Tamandua tetradactyla: one gene and its partner. The protein of the gene in region 1 purifies or fractionates together with the protein of each later gene. This does not show direct contact. Links are inferred from orthologs where the notes say so. Each region holds a gene or a part of one and is shown on either strand. Other genes may lie near its edges.

The links.
Region 2: the proteins of SLC34A2 (region 1) and ENDOD1 purify together in Homo sapiens (co-immunoprecipitation; 3 studies listed by BioGRID and IntAct, counting the BioPlex papers as one, with this or other methods). This does not show direct contact. The link is inferred for Tamandua tetradactyla from reciprocal best matches to the Homo sapiens genes SLC34A2 and ENDOD1.

The regions. Positions count from the first base shown.
Region 1 is NC_135345.1:25,876,619-25,887,207, reverse strand, and holds the start of SLC34A2 (sodium-dependent phosphate transport protein 2B), read right to left. Parts: upstream 4,657-10,589; 5' UTR 4,425-4,656; intron 1-4,424. UniProt on the Homo sapiens protein: Involved in actively transporting phosphate into cells via Na(+) cotransport.
Region 2 is NC_135334.1:47,906,066-47,916,654, reverse strand, and holds the start of ENDOD1 (endonuclease domain-containing 1 protein), read left to right. Parts: upstream 1-4,826; 5' UTR 4,827-4,906; coding exon 4,907-5,215; intron 5,216-6,729; exon of another isoform or gene 6,730-6,881; intron 6,882-7,667; exon of another isoform or gene 7,668-7,817; intron 7,818-10,589. UniProt on the Homo sapiens protein: May act as a DNase and a RNase. Plays a role in the modulation of innate immune signaling through the cGAS-STING pathway by interacting with RNF26.

The DNA of each region.
Region 1 (10,589 bases):
GATGCAAGTAGGGTTGACCAATATATGTTGGATGGAGCAATTGTCGTGAGGACGTGCAACCTGGACATTGCAGCAGCCCCACTTGGGAAACTCTTCTCGGTACAGTATGGAAAGCTTAAGAAGGATTATTTGCCTAAATTAAATCTTGTCTTCCTGATTTCTATCAAAATAATTTCAAGGAACAAGCAACTCTCTAGTGGATACAAAAGCAGATGCTATTATGGTCCAATGTTTTATAAGGAGCAAAAGCCTTAGAGCTAAGAGAATTCAGATACCCCTTGCATCAAACTGTTCAGAAATGAATAGGATGCACTGGCAAAGGACCCAACATGCCAAAATGTCAGGAATACTTCCTCTGAGGTCCGTGCTGGCTTCATCCACTAACACTTATTCACTTAATATTGGTCAGCATCACTAGAAAAACAAGGGAAATTTCTATCAACTGTGTGCTCCTCCTTCCTAAAAGCCTTGATTTCCCTCTTCGAAGTGCCATCATTTTTCACAATCCTGTTTCCTCTTGACTAACACTTCCTCAATGAAACAGTTATTTCCCCTCACTTAGCAGTCGATTTTCTCATACATTCATTGACTCCACCATTATTTCTCGAGTGCAAGACCTTGAAGAGACAGAATACCACATGCCCCGGCAGCAGCCCTCATGCAACAGGTAGCCGAGACAGTCAACCGACTGAACAGCCCAGGGCTCTTTGAAACTGTGGTCTGCCCCTCCTCACCCTCTCCACCCCCAAGCTTGAGTTGCTCCTCCTGGGAGGTGGAAAGCAAGAGAAAGGTAGGGTACCTGGAAACTCAGAAGCAGGAAGGAGAGAAGACACTGGCAGCTGCCCCTTGGCATGGGTGCACAGGCTCCATTCACTAGCCCTTCTGGCCAGGAAAGCCCCAGCTCTCTGTACAGGCCTGGGTAGGGCAGGACCTGGGAGCCAACTCCCCAGGGTCAGCCCCATGACATGGCACCATTCAGGGGATCCTCCCAGCCTCAGGGGTTGCCACTTTTGCTGATATCCTAGAGCTAGCACATGGCACTAAGTGAGAGTAGACCAGGGCCAGCTCTGCAGATGCACTGTGTGCCCCTGAGATGAAATGCTAAACCTCTCTGAGCTGCCAGTTTCATAATCTCAAAAATGGGGACAACCTGGTCTCCCTCAGAACTGTTGGGAGGATTAATTAATGTGCATAGGTGAAGCCTTTAGCACTGTGCCTGGCACAAAGTAAACATCAGAACTTTGTGAAATGAATGAACTGCATCATGAACGCTATGAAGTTTTGCCTTAGTGCCAGTCCCTAGGTAAATATCTTTGCAACACATGAACACAAAGCACCTGAGAGAAAGGAGCTAATGTTTGCTTTATGACAGGGGAGTGCCCTATACAGTTTTTGTGACCTCGTTAATTCTCATAACAAGGAAGGGGTTCTTCTATCCAGTTTACAGGTAAAGAAACCAAAGCATAAGAAACTCAATTCAAATCCCACACCTAACTAGGGGTGGAATCAGGATTTGAACACAGGATTGCTGGAGCTAAGACAGAAAGAAGAGGAATCCTAACCCCTTTCAAAGTACCAGAGTGCTCAGGGGCTTCAAGTTCAGGCTCAGTGAGGGTTTAGGGTGTTGAGGAGAAAGCAGGCTGGGCTGGTGTGTCTGCAGGACTCAGCCCTGCCTGCTCATTCAGATGACTAGAAATGTCAGCCAGGAATGCCATAATGACGGGCTGTTGAGCAGGGGAGGCAGTACCAAATGGGCCGGACAGAGGATGTAGCGCAATTCTGAGGTCATCCTTTCCAGGGATGTGGCAGACACAGGCCTGAACTGGACCTGCCTTTCCCAGGAAGGGGGCTCTGAATACCGACAAGGGGTCCCTGGAGCCTTTGAACTCTCCAAAGGCTTTCTCCCTTCCCAGACCCCCAGCCCAGCTGTTGTCCTGCTATTCCCTTTCCTCGCCCTTCCCAAGGCCACACTCCAGCTTGCTGCCTGCCCAGTAGCAGAGAAAAGTTAAGGAAAGACACACACAATTTTCTTGGCAATTTGGTAATAATACCTGTGTCTTCAATGCCTGCCCAGGAAAGAGGTTGGTGGCTCTCATGAGGCCTCCAGGTTTCAGAGGGATCACTCATCCATCTGTGCCCTTGCTTCCTACCAACGGTCCCGACAATCGAGCTGGCTGTGCTGCTGACCTCCAACTTCCTACAGCCACCTGAGTACCCAATGCCGAGAGGAACTCGGCACTCATTCTCTCTGGCAGGCCAAAGAGAGGAAAGTTCTTGGCTCCTGTACCTAAGCTGCTGGCTGCTCAAGCAACATTGTTTGAGCCTCTCCAACCAGGACCTGGCCTGGGGCAGCCTGTGCTGGCAATGGCATGGTGGGAGAGAAGAGGGGCGAGGTGGTGGCAGTATGGGGGCCAGTGGGCCTGCAGGGAGATCCAGACCCAGGAGCTGGCCTCCACAAGGGCAGGGAGGTCGAACACTGTGTCCCCAACACAGTGCCTGGCATATAGCGGCCAGCCAATAAAAGTTAATTGCACACTTATTTTGTGCCAGGTACTGATCTAAGCCCTTTACGCAGATTAACTGATTTAATCCCCTAAGTACTTTGTGAGGGAGAACCAACATTGTCCCCATTTTACAGGAGGAAAATGAGACAAGAAACGTTGATTGCTTCAAGTCACACAGCTACTACGCCCTCAGAGGTCGTTCAAACCCAGGTGGTCTGACTCCAAGGGCCATGCCATTTGTAAACTCAAGAAACGCTTTCCTGTGCTTTGAAAGACTTCAAAATTCCCAAGAGGGTTATGGCTACTTTTCTTCAGCTTCCTTTAACTATCACAAGGAAAAATAATCCCCATGTACACAGGGATCATGGGAGCGGGGATGCTATAAGCAGAGCACACGAGGAAACAATTGACCTGGACATCACTGAAGAATGGCTTAGTTTAGACTTCTGATGAGAGGCACTAATAGGATATTTAAAAAGACATTTATCATATCACCTTGAACTTGGGCCCCTTTGCCGAACGCTCATAGCATTTACATTTAAATAATCAACCCTGCCTTAGCCTGCAACTATCAGTTATTTGTTATCATATTATGGGGCTAAAGGGTTAATTTGTAAATGTGAACATTCAAAACATCTTATAATTTTTTTGCAACCCTCTTTTTGCATTTCTTATCACTTCTGCAATCACCTAGACCCTGTTCTCATATCAAGGGGGAACTGTTTCAATGAGATAGTTGAGTGATTTTCAGGGTGGGCGTGGGGGGACAATTTGTTTAGCATCCAAACCTTTTTACAAAGCATGCCAGTCTTGCTGCCAGTTCCCAAAGTTACAAAAATAGAGACAAGATCATTATCAGCTGGTTGGCTGGCACCAGGAAACAATGACTGCTACTAGTAGGCAGAACTCTTCCAGGTACACCCCTCACAGAACAGGTTCAAGAGTGTGTCACAGGGAAAAGGAAAAGCAGAAAAGAGAAGAAAAAGGAGGCCTGGAGCAAGCCCTGCGGACACAGAAAACTCTTGGTGAGTCTGTACAGGAAGGGAGGGGGCTTCGGAGAAAGGCACTCCACAGGCTGCCGCCACAAGCTTAACAAGCTGGAGGAAAGCTGCCCCCCTTTACCCAGGAAAACAAGAGCTTCAAACTCTCAACTCAGCGCCAGCTATTCCTGACAGGGATCTGTCCTGGTAGTCTGTAGGATGAGTTAATTCCATATAAACCTTTCTCCCTATCTCCGGCCTGAGTAGGCACCCACCCACCCAATCCGACCACACCGGGCACCTTTCCCTGCAAGCCGCTTCCCATTTCCCTTGGCCACTCTTTTTCTCCCAAGATAGCGGAAAGCCATACCCATGGCACATGAGAATAGCAAAAAGCCAGACTGTCCCTCACAGTGAGCTCAGGTAAATAACCGCAAACAAGCATCATGGCTCTGGAAGCCATCCTGGGGTGGTGGGGTCGACCCTGGAAAGATGGCCCCTTTCCTCTTCTTGTAAAGACAGGAAAGCTTAGGCTGGGGGGCTTGCTGGGACCCTGGGATCTATCTGCCTTTATGACCCAGCCAAAAAGAAAGCTCCCCCTCTTCCCAATTCCATTACACCATCCTCCTTCCCCAAACCATGATTCTCAAACCATCTGTAATTCTAGAATCCCCAAGCGTGGCTGATTACTAGCACTATTACTACAAGCAGTACTTGCAGTAATAGTGCAGTAACAGAAGTAATAATCTCAGCAACAGCAGTAACATGAAGAAGAAAAAGAAAATTTGAAAAACTTGGAAAGGTTTTTTATTTTCTCTTCTGCTGTTCAAAGTCAGGTTCCTTGAGGTCTTCATCGAAGGAGCTATCTAAAAGAATTTGAGTCACTTAAGGCAGTTTAAAGAGAAGGAGGCCCCCTTGCCCCGGCGGCGGCGGTACTCACCAGCGCTCCCTACGCAGGTAAAGGGCTGAAGGAGGCACCCAGGTAGAGCGCGGCGCCCCGGGTATATATAGCCAAGGTGTTGCGCAAAGGGGCCGGCAGCTGCTGTCATCACGTCCCTCGCACATTCCAGGACGGCCCGCCGCCGCCGGGGAACTGCCTACCTGCCGGCGTGACAAGCCCATCGGGACCTCGCCCGCTGCGCTGAGGCCGGGCAGGCGGCCGGGACCGCGGAGAGAAGCCGCGCACGGTCCCCCGCCGCCGCCGAACGGCAGCGAACGTCCCTGCGCGCCCCGTCGGCGCCCCGCGCGCCCTGGCCCCCTGCTGGCGCGCGCCCTCGCCGCCACCCAGCCCCAGCAGACACGGGGCGCTAGTTGGACGCGCTATCCTCTGCCTTCTCCTTCCTCTAAGAACTAGTTCTTCGGAGGCTGAAGAGTCCGGGGAGGTTGAGATATTGAGATACAGAGAGAATACACCTGGAAACAAGGCGAGCATTTGTTAGGTCTTATCACTGTTTGGAGGAGTCTTCTGCCCTGGGAGCCTGACTTGGAGCCTGGAGTTAAGAGACCCGTACTACTGGGAAAGGCCTGGTCTGGCGGGGCTGAGCAAGGGGAGAGTCGGCTCGCCCTGAGAACTCCCTCCGCGGGCCTAGGGCTCTTATTTCACCGCCCTGTGTGTGTGTCCTGAGTCTCCACACATAACCTTTCTCCATCCAAGCCCTTCTCCACATTAGCAACAGCCATCCAGTTGTGTGCTGGGGAAGTCACCCGTACACACACAAAAGCTTCCCCTGGGGCTTAGATTAGTTCCCTTTTGCAGCTGAGGTTAGGGAGGGTTGGGAGCATGACACAGGATAACAGGATTTAGCTGAGCTGGAATCAGACCTGGGTCCAACTCCAAAAGCTCTGGGCCTTCCCTCACCATTCCATACTGTTTTTATACTGGAGTCAGTGGGGCCTAGAGAGTTTCCTAGTTGCCCTGCTGTTCACAGCTACTAGGTGGAAATCCCCACTGGAACTCGGTTGAATTTCGTTGCAAAGTTAGGAGTCCCTGTGTAGGGAGAAGAAATTAGGAGAGCTGTTTCTAGGAACCTGCAGAGCCTGGCTCTTTCTCAAGCTGAGAGGTCAATGGTGAAAGCGCACTGACTCTTGTCAACGTGTCTGAATCAATTCCTGTCCTGCCCCCTTGCATTCCCTGCCTCTGTTTGCTGGTGTGCAAAATGGGAATAATGGTTTCTATAGGCTAGAGGAAAATGGGCTAAAATACCTGAAGTGCACAGAGCAGTAGCAGGCATGTAGCTTAATGGGGAGCACGGGTTGGGAGAAACTGGGTGGAAGGATTTGATAAGACTCATCAGGAACCTTGAGAGTATGTGTTCTACACAACACTCTCTGGAACCTGGGTCCAGACCCAAGGGCCCGTGGACGTATGAGCTTGGCGAGTGGGCACTGGAATCAAGTCGGTCTTGGCTGCTCATAGCAGAAGGATGATGATTTGCCAGTGGGTGCTGGACTTAAAAGCCAACCTTGGGAGACCTTTCCACTGAGTGAATTCTAAAGCAGAGTCTACAGATGGCATGGTGACAGGAATCCACCAGCATGTGTTTGTCAAGCTCAGCTTTGTCTCCAGCCCCGGGCACAGACATGACATGGGGCTCATGGGGCGCAGGACTTAATTGGACATTTATCCTGACAAGCGTCCCACAGTGAATGAGGACTTTGATGTAGGGCACGGATCTAATCTCATTCACATCGCCTTTATGTCAGTCCAACAAGGAACTAATGTAGAGAGACTTCAATTTCAAAAGCTTGTAAAGAAAAAAAGACGGTTTCCCTTTTATGTTCCAATTGGAAAGACAAAATACGGATTTGGTCCAGGTGGCTTTTCTTTTTCTATTTTTAAAGGTATATTGATCTCAGGATAGATCAGGGATGGTATCTGTTTGATTCTTGATTATAGTTTTTGGTACTACTTTTTGTACAAAGCACGTGTGTGCACATGTGGGTCTCCAATCTTTCCTTTTAGGGGAGAATAGTTTGCTGAAGGATACTTTCCTATCTTTTTTCCATCTCAGATATGAAATGCTCCTACCATTTAGTACCCAGAGAGCCTATATGTTTACATCATGCTTGTAAAGTACTTTCACATGCATCGTTTCATTTTTTTACAACTCACTTTAGTGCAGTGTTTTGTGCCAACTGTTGTCCTTGCTATAATGTGGAGTTGATTGAACTAAGTGGTATCAATAATGTAGAAATTGCAGCCTACCCAGAGGCCATGAGACTGTTGCCCAAGGTTACAAAGCAATGAGCAAATACAGGCCCACAATCCCTTAGTGAACCCCTGGGGCTAAAGGTGTTTCAGAATTTAGAATTTTTCATTTTTAGAAAGTAAAATTCAGATGCTGTCTATTAAGTAACATCCCAGTGTGGCCCAGATAGCACCCTGCAATCAAACCCATTGTCATTTTTACTCCAAAAATGTGTAATTATTGATACTAAGTTCGATATATAAATAAGATTGATATATAAACAATGCCATGTCAATTCAAATGCGTTTCTAAATTGCAGATTAAAGATTGTGAGCCATAGTATTGAATGTTTAAGATGTGCAGACACTGCTCTAAGCACTTTACTTACATTAAACCTTTTAATCCTTATATTAAATTACCACTATGAACTAAGCAAGAAAACGGTAGCCAAGAGAAGTTAGATAATTCAACCCCAAGGTCACAGGATTAATAGGTAGCAGAGTAAGATCTGAACCCAGGTGGTATTACTTAATCATAATCAGTAAAGCTTTCTTCACAGAGATATTTGGTTGCTGAAAGGACTGAAGGTGAGTGGAATGGGATAAGATAGAGAATCCAGAAACATGTGGACACTTGATTTACAACAGAAATATCACTGCAGAGCAGTAAGGTAAAGATAATCTTAGCAGTAATGGACATCCCAGTGGGAACAAAAACTTGATTCATACTGTACACAAAATCTATTTTAGGAAGAGCTGATTTTATCTAAATATAAAAGGCAAAACTATAAAACTTGAAGACAATATAGGCAAATAATTTCATAAACTCAGGGTAGGGGAAAGACTTCTTAGACAAATAGGATACAAAAAGCATTAACCATACAGAAGATGTACAGAAGATGTGGGGACCCAGATCCACCCCTGCACACCCATTAGCCGCCTCCATGACCTGGGACCAAAGTCACCTACTTGATCTGGGAGCAAAGTCATCAGAACCTTCCCCCCACCCCGCCCCGGGGAGGGGGGTGGGACATACAGTGTTATGGTAAACAAAGCATTAAAACTCCCCTCCCATAAGAACGAAGGAATGTCATTGCTGCAGGGTGTAGAAAATAGATGGTAATTAATATTTTAAAATTTAACTTATTTATGAAACTAAAACAAAAACGTTTATTTGGTACAAAATTTATATTTGACTAGTGAAGTCCCTAATAAAATTTATGTGGACAGCGTAATTGAACACCCTAAGTACATGGAACCTTGAGTAGGGCATAAGATTTTGTAGGTTTGTCCAGAGTGATGCCACAATAAATCCCAGAGTGATTTGAACAGTGAGTAAAAAAGTATTTGCAAAGTCCCCTTCGGGGAATGGTGAGAAAGGGGGAAATTTCAACTTCCCCAAGTGGAGAATTCTGGATATTCTCACAGGCAGTGGGCACAACCAAAGCCATAGGCTGAGCCCCCAATCTTGGGGTTTGTTTATATGAAAATTAATCCCACAAAGGATAGGTCAAGCCTACTTAAAATTAGGCCTAAGAGTCACCCCCAAAAGAACCTCTTTTGTTGTTCATATGTGTCATATCTCTACAGCCAACACAACAAGCTAACTCACTACCCTCCCCCTGTCTACGTGGGACATGACTCCTAGAGGTGTGGACCTTCATGGCAACATGGGACATAAATCCTACAATGAGCTGGGACTCGGCACCAAGGGATTGAGAAAAACTTCTTGATCAAAAAGGGGAAGAGAGAAATGAGACAAAATAAAGAGTCAATGGCTGAGAGATTCCAGAGTCGAGAGGTTATCTTGGAGGTTATTCTTACACATTAAATAGATATCACCTTGTTAGTCAAGGTGTAATGGAGAGGCTGGAGGGAAGTACCTGAAAATGTAGAGCTGTGTTCCAGTAGCCATGTTTCTTGAAGATGATGGTATAATGATATAGCTTTCGCAATGTGAACTGTGTGATTGTGAAAACCTTGTGTCTGATGCTCCTTTTATCTACCTTATGAGCAGACGAGTAAAACATATGGAATAAAAACAAATATAGGGGGAACAAATGTTAAAATAAATTTAGTAGATTGAAATGCTAGTGATCGATGAAAGGGAGGGGTAAGGGGTATGGAATGTATGAACTGTTGCAAATGTTCTAAGAAATGATCATGGTGAATATGCAACTATGTGATGATATTATAAATTACTGATTATATATATAGAACAGAATGATATGTTAAGAATGTTTGTGTTTATTTGCTGTTATATTTTAAAAATAATAAAAAAAAAACCTTCCCTCCCACGATCACTGTTGATAACGAATCTTCACACTCAGTGTCATAAGACCCTGTGGAAACTCCGTTCTTCTACCTTATGGAATGTCTTTGTCCCAAACCCTTATAACTACCCATGCCCTCTCCCATGGCACCCACTGCCCTTTATGACCCACTAATGCCATTTTTAGTTCAACCAACCAGGGACCCTCTCCTCTTCATAAGTCCTGTTTAAACTCATGTCTAACTCTGTGCCTGGCATGTTCTTCGATCTTGGGACCGAGCTGGGCTGGAATGACAGGTATGCGGAACTACACTAAAGTTAAGACTGTCTGTCCATCAAAGGCAAACCAGAATGGGAAGAGAGATTGGGGACACATAAAACTGACCAAGATCTTATTCCCAGACCATGTAAAGAACAGGCACTTAACAAACAAAGATAAATTGCCAATAAAGCAATGGAAATTGAATTATGAGAGGCCACTATATACCCACCAGAATGGTTAGGATCGATAGCAAGAAGATCAAGTGTTGGAAAGCATGAGAACTGGGAACTCTGACACACTGCTGGTTAGAATGAGTACAACCAATTTGGAAAAAATAGTTTGACAGCATCTACCAAGCATTCCCTGTGAGCCACCACGTCCTCTCCGAGGCATGTACCCAACAGAAATGCATATATAACGCTCACCAAAAGGAATATTCAACAATGTCTGAACCAGCACAATCTAGAAACAACTCAGATGCTCATTTCCATTAATAAAATGGGAAGTTAATTGTAGAACCCTCATACAATGGAATACTATCATGCAGTTGCCATTTTTGTAGACCAGAAGTGATCAAATAGCATACAGCAATGAAAATGAATGATTTATTGCTACATAGAAATAAATGGATAAATCTCACATATATAATGTTAAACTAAAGAAGCCAAATACAAAAGAGTTCATACTGTATGATTTCATTTGTATAAAATTTCCAAACCAGCCAAAGCTAAACCAGTGTTCAGGAATGCATGCTTAAGTGGTAAAACTATGAAGAAAATAGAAAGGGTAAAATTTCTGAAGAAGTCAAATAGTAGTCAATTTTTTGGAGAAGGAATAGGATTGATGGGCTCTTGGGATCTCCTGAGGGGCTGACAATGTTTTCCTTGGTTGCAGTGTTTTATTTTGTGTTAAATCTTTGAGCTGTACTTGCCTGCATGTACTTTTTCCCTGTTAATATTTCACAAAGGGTTTTTAAAAAATGAATGGCGTAAAGGCATATAATGAAGAGCGTAACCTCTGGATTATACAACTGAATTTGAATCTTGACTCCTCCACTTACTGGCTCTATCACATAAACGTTTACCATAACATTAGCATAGTTTACACTTACATATTGTGTGTTTGAGCCAGATATTGTTATAAGTGTTTTTCACAAATTGACTCATTTAATCTTCAAGAAATCTTATGGGGTAAGTTTGTCATCCCCATTTTATTGATTAGCAGAGACAGAAAGGTTAAGCGTCTTGCCTAAGGTCACACAGTGAGTAGCAGGGCCAGGATTTAAACCCGGATGGTCTGGCTCTGTTATCTGTACTTTCACCTAAAACCTTCTAACGCTATCACTTGAAAATTAGAATATCCTATAGGTAAATTCTCCAGATTA
Region 2 (10,589 bases), on another chromosome or scaffold:
TTTGGTGATGTATCTGACTGACCCTTCTCATTTTGTTTCTATATATATTTTAAATACTTTCTTTGTGATTACCCTGGGGATTTTTTTACACATCCTACATCAATAATCTACCAGTTTGAAAAGATAACAGTTTTACTTCAGTAGCATACACTTTCTCTGCTCCCATACCATCTCTTTCTCCTCTTTATGTTATTTTGTGCCAATTTACCACTTTATATTTTGCACAACTGTTATCAGGAAATATACCTTTTTTTCTTCAATCGTATTCTGATCCTTATGTGAATTACAGTGTAGTTGTGTATTGAGAATTTAGTACTTCTGGGTTTTGCATTTACCCTTTTAGTTACTCTTACTGATAATCTTCATTTCCTCATAATACTCTAAGCCACTCTCTCTTGGCTTTTCCTTTCAGCCTGTGGAACTCCCTTTGGTTATTCTTGTAGTGAAAGTCCCTTTTTTACAAATTCTCTCAGTTTCTGTTTATCTGTAAGTACTTTAAATTTTCCCTCATTTTTGAAGGACAGTTTTGCCAGAAAAAGAATTTGGGGATGGTAGTTTTTCTCTTTCAGTACCATAAAATTTATCACTTCCTTCTTGCTTCCATGGTTTCTGATGAGAAATCAGTACTTCAACTTATTAAAGATCCCCCGTATGTGATGAATCACTTTTCTCTTGCTGCTTTCAGAATCCCCTCTTGATCTTTGGCATTTGACATTCTGAGTGGTGTGTGTCTCAGAGTAGGTCTATTAGGATTTATTTTATTTGGAGGATGTTTTGCTTCTTAAATATGTATATGTATGTCTTTCATATGAGTTGGGAAGTTTTTAGTCAATGTTTCCTGAAATATTCTTTCTGCCCCTTTTCCCTTTTCTTCTTTTGAAACACCCATGACATGTCTGTCTGTGTGCATCATGCTGCCACTCAAATCCCCGAGAAATGGCTCAATTTTTTTGTCTGTTATTATAATGGCATGATTTTGATTTTCCTATCTTCTAGTTCACTGATCTTTCTTCTGGTTGTTCAAATCAGCTGATGTATACCTCTACTATACTTTCAGCCTCTACTATTGTGCCTTTCATCCCATAATTTTTGTTATGTTTCGTTTTATTTTTTTGCATGGGCAGGCACTGGGTATCGAACCTGGGTCTCCAGCACAGCAGGCAAGAACTCTGCCACTGAGCCACCATCGCCCTCCCTGTTATGTTTGTTTTTGTACTTTCAGATTCTTCTTCATGTTCACACATTGTCTTCTTAATATCTTTATCTCTTTTTTGCATATTTTTCTTCATTTCCTTGAATAGATTTAGGAGATCTGTTTGAACATCTTTTATTAGTTGTTCCAACTTCTGAGTCTCCTCCAAAATTTTAATTCAGTCCCTTGACTGAGCCATATCTCCTATTTCTTAGTATGGATTGTAATTTTTTGCTGTTTTCGAGGCATCTAATTATCTTTATCAGTTAACTCTGAGGGTTTGTTTCTTCCTTTAGTCTAGGGTTTTATTTTTGATTGGTTTTGTGTTAAGGCTCTTTTTTGATGCTTGGTTTAACTTATTTTAAACCTTTAGAATAGCCTATGTTTACCTGTTCGGAGTTTCTCAGCTCTTCATCTGATTCGTTCCTTGGATATTCAGTGCAATTTTTGAGATTTCACTTTTTGTGCAATTGTTTTTCATCTTCAAAAGAGAGCTTCCTTTCCTCTATTCCTTTTCCAGGAATCTTGATCTTTTCTCTTTGCTTTTGTGCAAACTTTTTTCCCCAGGTCCTACAATTTGTTTAAATTCTCTCCCTCACTCAGGGTCCCATTTTCCTCATACTTTTCAGTTCTGGGATCTGTACGTTCTTACAACAGCTCAGTTTAAGCCACTACCTTCTCCCTGTTTGTCCTCTGTGAGACTTTCCTGCCTCTGGTTTCTTCTCTGTTAGGGTTTCCCACTCCAGGATGCCAAAGGTGGGTTACTTCAGAGAAGTCTGTTTTGCCTTTAGGTGGTTCAGCGAACTGAACTGCATTTCGTGAGGTCACAACAGCTCTTACCAGCTTTCTATGGTGGTCTCTCTCTCTTTTTTATTATGACACCCCACCCCATACACCTACCTGCCCAGGACCCTTTTGTATGCAGCCTTCCACCTGGGTCTCTGTGGACTTAGATCCCCGTGCCTGGGGTTCTAACCAACGGCTGTGAATGGGTCTACAGTCTCTGTCCGTGGTTGGAGGAAGCTGGGCCTCTGTGTGAATCCCAGGCCGTGCAGGACCAAGTGAGGGGGAGGGGAAATGAGAACCCACCGGTGGTCTGGGACAGAATTCTCCTACTTGAGATTTTTCTGTTTCTTTGATACAGCATTTGTGGAGTCATTCCCCAGTCTCCACTGTCCTTTGGAGCTCTAAGCAAGTGACTATTTCCTCTTATTTGCTAAATCTCTGGGGAGACTTTTTCAGGGGATGTCTTATGCTGCCACGTTGATGCCATTGATCTGTATAGTTCTTCACAGTCAACAACATGCATCAACGTTGGGGAACACCCAGAATTCACAGCATCCCAGGAGTGGTATAAGCCCCATGACAGAGACCTACAAGGGTACAATGACTTAGCTGAGATACTAGGACCAGATGACCAGGGACTTCAATCTCAAGTCAAGAGAGACACCAAGTCTAGCTCTTTCCATGATATCACAGAAACTGTCTTTTATTTTAATTAAGATACGAATTTAGATTTCACTTCAGAGACCAAACCTAGTCAACATTTTTAGGCATTAGTACCTATGAAGAATTTGTTCTTAAACTCCATTTGTTCTGAAAATTAGCCTCCTACTTTATAGCCTCACTTTACAGATCAGCTGTGACTTAGAGAAAAGTCCAGGATTGGGAATGAGGCAGACCTGTTCCAAGTCTGACTTAGGACTCACTGGCTGTGCCATCAGAGGCAAGTCTTTGAAATTTTCCAGTCCTCAGTTCCCTATGTGGCACTGGGCAAATATGATTAAACAATAAGTTGTTAAATAAAGGTACCTGGCCCAGACTAGGTGCCCAGGTTCTATCTCTACTACCATCATCCTAAGCCAAGCCACCTGTGCCATCTGGATCTTTGCAAGTTTTTCTTCCTTCATTCTGGACCACTCCCATCCTCCATCCTCCAGCCAGAAAGCAAAAGTGATTGTGTCACTACTATTGAAAGATCAAAAACCTATCACGTGATCTATAATACTGCTTTCCAAACTGCAGGTAATAAGCCATTGGTGGGTCAAAGAAGCAATTTTTTTTTGGCATGGGCAGGCACTGGAAATTGAACCTGGGTCTCCAGCACAGCAGATGAGAACTCTGCCAATGAGAAACAATTTTTTGGATTGCCATCAGTACTTAAAAAAGAGAGTGGAATAATGTAGACTAAAATAGAAATAACAGCTTGTAATATCAGCCATAGCATAAGTATTATTTCACAAAATTTGTTTTCTCATTGTGTGTTTTGTTAAAACATTTACAAACCCATTTCTTTTTTGTATGCTGTATGGCAAGGTCACATTTCATTCTTTTCCATGTGAGTATCCGTATTGCAGCACCACTTGTTGAATATTTTGTTTGTTTTCTTTGGGAAGTGCATGGGCCAGGAATGGAACCCGCGCGTCCCACATGGCAGGTGAGAATTTGACCACTGAACTACCCTTGGCTGTACCCTCTCTTGTAAAACATTTGAAATCTTGGTCTATACAACCCTGAATGATATGCCACCTGCCTCCTTCCTTAGACCCACCTCTCATACTCTCTTCCCAGTTTTCTGCTCTCTACCCACCCAAGCTGTCCCTAAGTTCCTCCAACATGACACATCCCCTTCTGCTGAGAGATCCCTTTGCACATGCTCCTCTTTGCCTAGTTAATGTCATCTTTCAAGCCTCAGCCCAGAAGTCACTTGTTCAGCAAACCTTCCCAGACTATATCATCTTGTCCCCTTATGGGTCCAGTTTTAAATTATTCCTTCAACAGCTTGGTTATTTAATGAAAAGCTTTCCCACTAGGCTGTATCTTCCCTCCTGCAGGGATCCTATTCTTGTTTACCACTGTAACCCAGGCCCTAACCCAGCCCAGCATGCAGGGCTCAGTTTATTGACTTACCAACTGATGGAATGAAGAAGGCATGACTCAACCAGCCTACCAAACCATATTGCTTGTTCTCCTTCCATTCTCGGTAGTGATTATGTTTGTAACGCGGTTGCTAGGTAAACCACAGTAGGCTGTATTGGGTACCTACACACAACTTTCTATAACAGGATTTCTTAACTTGGGCTGGGGCTTCTGACAAGCCCAAACTGCATCCAAATCATGAGTGAGTGGGTGGTTGTGCTTTTCCGTGGGGAGAGGGAGACTAATCCTCATTAGATTTCAGGGGGAGTCTCTGTCCGCTCCAAAGAGTCACAGCTCCATGGCTATCTCGCCAAATTTTCCTTTGCATCCCTGAGGGTCCCTAGGGCGCGTGGGCTTAGGAGGCTTCTCGGTCCTCAACCCAGGTGGTCGTTCCTTCCCTGTCCTTCTGGCTAGGCCGACCTCGCTGCGACCTTCCACTCTTGGGATCAGGCGTCCCCGCGGACTGCAGTGAAGAGGTGGTGCAGTGGCAGGGGACCTGCGTCTCTAGGCCCAAGTGCAGTCCCGGGGACATTGCCCGCATCCCCAAGCCTGGTCCCGGGCCTCTGCAGCCATCTTCAGGGACCGAGGAAGGGAGGAAGGCGCGGTCTGGAGACGCTGACCCGCCCCCGCCGCCAGGGCCGCCCCGCTGGGGCTCCGCCTAGCACTCCCCGCGCCGCGTCCGCGCTCTTACATCCCCTCCCAGCCCGTCGCGGCGGACTTGCCCGCTCCCGCCCAGCCCGCAGAGCCCGCACTGCGGCCGCTCAGCCGCCCGGCCGGCCGCTCGGAGAGGCAGCCATGGGCACCGCGCGCTGGGCAGGCTGGCTGGCACTGGGCAGCCTGCTGGCCCTGGCCCGGCAGCTAGCAGGCCGGGTCGTGGGCGAGGAGGAAGCCGGCTTCGGCGAATGTAACAAGTTCTTCTACGCCGCCACCCCGCCTGCGGGCCTGGAGGCCGAGTCCCACGTGAAGATCTGTCAGCGCTCTGAGGGCGCCGAGCGCTTCGCCACGCTCTACAGCACCCGCGACCGCATCCCGGTGTACTCGGCGTTCCGCGCGGCGCGGCCGGGGGCTGGCGGCGCCGAGCAGCGTTGGCTGGTGGAGCCGCAGGTAAGCGAGGGCGTGCCGCTGGGGGTTCCTTCCAGAAACACTTGGCAGCCACCCCGAGGGGCAGGGCTGGGAAAGGCAGCCCCCAAGTCTTTTTGGTGCCTGCGGTCGGGAAACCCGGGTTTCAGATCCACCCCGCAGCGTCCCCAGACTGGACGGCTTCCTCTCCCCCTGTCAAAGCCAGAGCAGAGTTTGGCTTTTTGCGAGGCTTTGCTTAAGTAGCAAGGGCGGGAGGTCCCAGTGGGAGGTGGTCCTCCCTACATTTTTGCGCAGCCATCTGCAGCGGCTCTTTCGTTTCCTGAATGGTGAAGAGCGTGAGACAAATCCAGGAGACGAATCCCTGCGCAGGGAGCCTCGGCTGGGCGCTTATAGGCCTTGGCGCAGGCTATTGCTACGACTTTTATGGGGGGGGGGGGGGGTGCGGTGCGGTGCATTTTCATCTCGAGTTTACAGTAGAAGAGATCAAGGTTCAGGGGGGTGAAGAGACTTGCGGCAGACCACCCAGCCAGAAGCTGGGGCAGATCTTTTGGCTACAAGTTCACCGCCCTTTCTACCAGGAAATAACTTCCGTTCTGCAGAATCTTTCCTCGAGTGAAAATCCTTCTCTTCTACACACGACCTCGAGTAAATGCTATTTTAAGTTTTCTTCTGAGTTAGGACTATAAAATAACAGATTTTTAAAGATGCAATGGAACTGTTATAATTAATTGGGAAACACTGACTATTTCCATTTGGTGGGAGGGACAAATCAGTTTTCCCTAATTCTCCCTATATATATTATCAGACCACTTGGAAATCATGACCCTATGGTCTGATGATGGTGACCTACAAGAGGCCCCCAGAGGCCCTGCTGAACCTGCCTCTCTGCCATACCTCTGCTCCTTGGTCCCCCTTTCTAGATCATCCAGCCAGGGTCCCCTTTGGTAGGTTTGGCTGCTCACTGGGCCACCCAGCCTTGCTCCTCCCTCCAAGACCGCCCTAGCTGGGGGAGAAGCCAACACCCCAGCCCTGCCCATTCCTGATGGCCACAGCTGCCCAGGACCACATTGGTGACCAGGAGACTGTCCTCCCTGTACTTTACTCAAAAAGACTTGGGTGGTAAGCCCATTCAGATGTTTCTAGCTCTGAGATCTTGACCAGGTCTCAAGCAATCTGTGCTTTTGCTACCTCCATTCTGCTTTCCTCACTGTTGATGTCAGGGATCTATGCCATCAGGCATGTGAAACAGCCTTTGTAAATTATACACATTTAAGTGGTATTCTAATCTAAAATTAGTTTGCTCTCTAACTGCACCCCTGGAGCTCTCACCGTATTCCCCAGGTTCTTATTATGCTTTGTGACTATGGGGTTGTGAAAAAAATAAATGACCTGATCCTTTCTCCTTAAGGAGCTCGTGGTCTCTTTGGGGAGACAGAACATACACAGGAGAACGACATGGGGCATGCTAAACAAATTTCACTTAAATTCAGAGCACGTTTAGTAATTGCCTATCATGTGTTAGGTATACTTGAGATTACCTCAGAGTGTAGCTGGAGAAAGTCAGGGCCTCCGGGCAGCCATTGGAGCTTTCTGGATGGAGCATTGACACAGCATCTGGTCAGCGAGGCTGCCTGGGTTTAAATCCTGGTTCCTCCATTTGAGATGGTTAACTTGGAGATAGTAGCAGCATCTACATCATAGGGCGTTGTCAACATTAAATACCTGATTATGTGTTAAATTCTCAAAGATGTGCTGTCACCCAAGTACTAGCTGCTATTATGATATAAGCAGGAAAAAACCTCTATAATTTAATAGTTGTTAACAAATTCCAATGAGATTTAATCCATCTTTTAGGTGAGAGGGGAAAGCCTTAAGGTCAAGATGACATTGGCGCTGTGCCTGGAGGGATGAGGCTAAATTCAGCAGGGAGAAAAGAAGGAAGAGGTCATTTCAAGTAGAAGGGACATCATGAGTAAGAAATGTATGGCAGTTTCAGGGATTCGTGTGTGGGGACTGGTTGGAGCAGCTAAACTAATACAAGTGAAAGATTACACTCTATTCAAGTGTATGGAATAAAGAGGAATAGTGGAAGGAAAGGGTCAGGTAGGAAGTTCTCGAGGGAGGCTTAGGGAGGCAGGAGCCATTTATGCAGGTACTGAAGGACTCATAGAAGCCTGATTTGCCAAAGGAGTAGATGCATCCAAGTCACATAGACAGTGGAGGTGTGGGGTCCCGGGTTAGGGTAATGAGAAATGGCGCTGGGGAGAAAAAAGAGTGAAGATGTACAGCAGTTCTGAAAATTCCAGGAGGCCAGAGTTCTCAGCCAGCAAGGTCAGAATGATCAAGAGTGGCTGAGCACAGCATGATGCTTCTGCCTGCAGGATGTGTTTGCTGCCCCCAAACTCAGGTCAAGTCAGTCAGGAATGAGAGGTCATTAGGAGGGGGGGAGGGAAGGAAAGAAGGGAGGTGTTGCTACCAGAGTCCAGAAGGCTTCAGCACCCACTGCAGCAAACCTATCTGCTCCTTGAGGCTGCCTCAGAGCCAAGATCCCCACTGCAGAGAGATACTCTGGGCTCACTGTGTACTTTTGGCTGCTTTGCAGCAGTTTGCAATGCTAGTTGCTTTGTGCCCACTTCACCTTTTTATGAGGTCAGCATCACCAAGAGGCCCGGCAGACAGGGGAGGAGGAGAGAGGAGACTTCAGGAGGCTATATGCAACCAGACCCGGCTGGACTGGCTCACACTCCCAACGCCCAGTTCAACTGCTTTCATGACTGTCCTGTAATTTCTCTTTGAAAAAAAAAAGCTCTTAAAGATCATAGAAAGTTAGTCACTCTCATGCTTAAAGCCTTTAAGGTGTTGGCTGCCCGACACCTACCAGACAAAGTTCAGACTATACAATGTAGTTAGCAAGGCCCTCTATGATCTGGGTCCTGTCTCCAGCTCCAGTCTTGTTTCTCACTCCTCACTGTCACATTTATGTTCTAGCTGCCTTGGGAACCTCTCATAAACTATGCTGCTTGTTGTGTCTGTTTCTTTGTTCTTGCTGATTCCCTTTGCTTCAAATGCTCCTTCTATACTGCCTCTGTGTTTTCTTTCCCGTGCTCCATCCTTTAAGGCTCTGCTAAGACAACACCTCCAGAAAGAATTTCCTACCAGGCTTATGTCCACCTCTTGTTTTAAGTTCTGTGCCCCTATGGTTTCACTCTTCTGTGCCCCTATAGTTTCTCTATCTCTGTGCTTACCCCACTGTTTCATAATTACCTGCTTATGTATGTGTCCTCCCACCTTGAGCCCTTGCGGTTGACGAATACGTCTCATTCATTCTTGTGTTCCTGGCGTCTTGCACATGGAAAGTACATGTTGGATGCAGTAATTTGATTGTAGGAGGATAAGTCAGGTAGCAGGGGGTGAGATGTTCTGCTTGAGCTTTCTCTGTGGGGAGCTTCCAGCTTTAGAAACTTCCCCCATAGCTGGCCATCAGCCATGGATACAAACATGTTCCATAAGCAGAACTGGAACCTTCTGTAAGTTCACCCCTTAATACCTTTATTAAGATATTGCCTTAATAGGTGCTAGGCATACACAAAGCCAAATGATTTGCATCTCCACTGCATAATGGCTCTCCAGTGTTGTATGCCAGATTCCACGCCTGCCCACGTTGGAGGAATTTAAATAGGACCTTTTGAGGGACCAAATGGGTAATTTAAAAGAGGGAGAGAAAACAGAGGGCTGTGTGGGTTTTATGTGGGATGTATGTGGTCACCTTTAAAGTGAAAATGGGGAGAAGGCAAGGAAGAGATGAGAAAACGATTCCCCATCTAATGTGATGGAGGAGGTTTGGAAGATTCTAGTCAAGACTCTGGAGTCCTGAGAACCAGGCTCTGATTTAGTGCAGGGAGTATCATACCTTTCAGTATCTCAACTCATTTCCATTTAATGTAAGAATTATTGGATGAGGGACCCATGATGGCCTTCCAAAGTGAATTGTCAATTCATGTGAGACGTTAACATATAAGAACCTCTCATTTTATAAATATGAACACTGGAAGGAATGGCCTTATAGGCAGTTAAGAGCGTACATTTACTTAATTTTACCAAACTAAATATCACTCTTTTCATTTTAGAGATATGGCTCCAAGAGATTAATTGATGTGCCTAAGGTCACAGTTTAAACTTGAACTCATGACTAATTGCTCCTAGTCCAGTGCTCTTTCATACAGCATGGAGATTCTTTGACCTCACAGGGGAGTCCACTACATTAATGGTTTTAGGACTTTAGTTCTCTTATTTTATATGGAATTTCTACTCTGATTTCTGTTTCTTGACAATTGTAGGATAAGTAGTAGCGCATATTTGGCCGTGCAAATATAGCTCAGGGTGTCAGTAGCTCCCGTGTGAAGGGGATTTTCTATTTGAGAGCAAAAGCATTTTCCTAGAGGGCCCAATGAGGTCATAATTCACATCTTAGCAAGTGACACATGAACAGTTGTCACAAGTTAGACTTTTAAGTCCTTGATCTTTAATTTCCATCAGTAGCTTACATATCCTGAGACAATCAGAAACATTGTTTTGTTCATTCTAATATCTTTCATTGTGTCAGAGAATAGATATATGAACATATCATACACTTCTATCTCTATGTAAGGGATGCACCAAACAGGACTCTTATCTCCTAGTTAAGAGGCTTGGGTTTAGAGCCCTGTTCTTCATTTGCCGACTGTGTGACCTTACTTCTTCTAGCCTTATTTTTCTGATCTGTTTATTAGAGGTAATAATAATGTTTACTTCATAGGGTGGTTGTGTCAAATAAACAAGATAAATGCGTGCAAGCATGTAGCACAGTGTCTGAAACCTGGAAAACTCTTGATAATTATTAATGTGATATCCTTTATTAAGATACTACCTTAATAGGTGCTAGGCATACACAAATGCACATACACACTTGAATGTAGGATTAGAGAGCTGATCCTACAATTCTATAAATCTCTCCTACAATGTAAGCTATGGAGGTCAGGCCCCAGATTTTGACATCCATTGGTATATCTTTTCAAGTGCTTGGCAGCTGTCCCACATTCATCCAGTAGGTGCTCAAAAAGTATACGGTGAGAGAATGAATGAATGGATAGATGGATAGAGTTAAGTAATTAACAAACAGGTGCCAAATATACCTCCACCCTATTTCTCCTGAGCAACCAGGAGGTGTGTTGTCATAAAACAGAGAACAATAACATTCCAGTCTATTATCCTGAGCCTGGGTAAGGCTGGAGAGTGCTTGATCTCTAGTTCCAAAGTAAATCATTCACGACTTCTTCCTCACTGGGGTGCAGACAGCACCGAGAGGGGCCATCCATGCTGTCCTTCTCTACCCTTTTCTCCTTTTCTGGCTGTTTCCTCA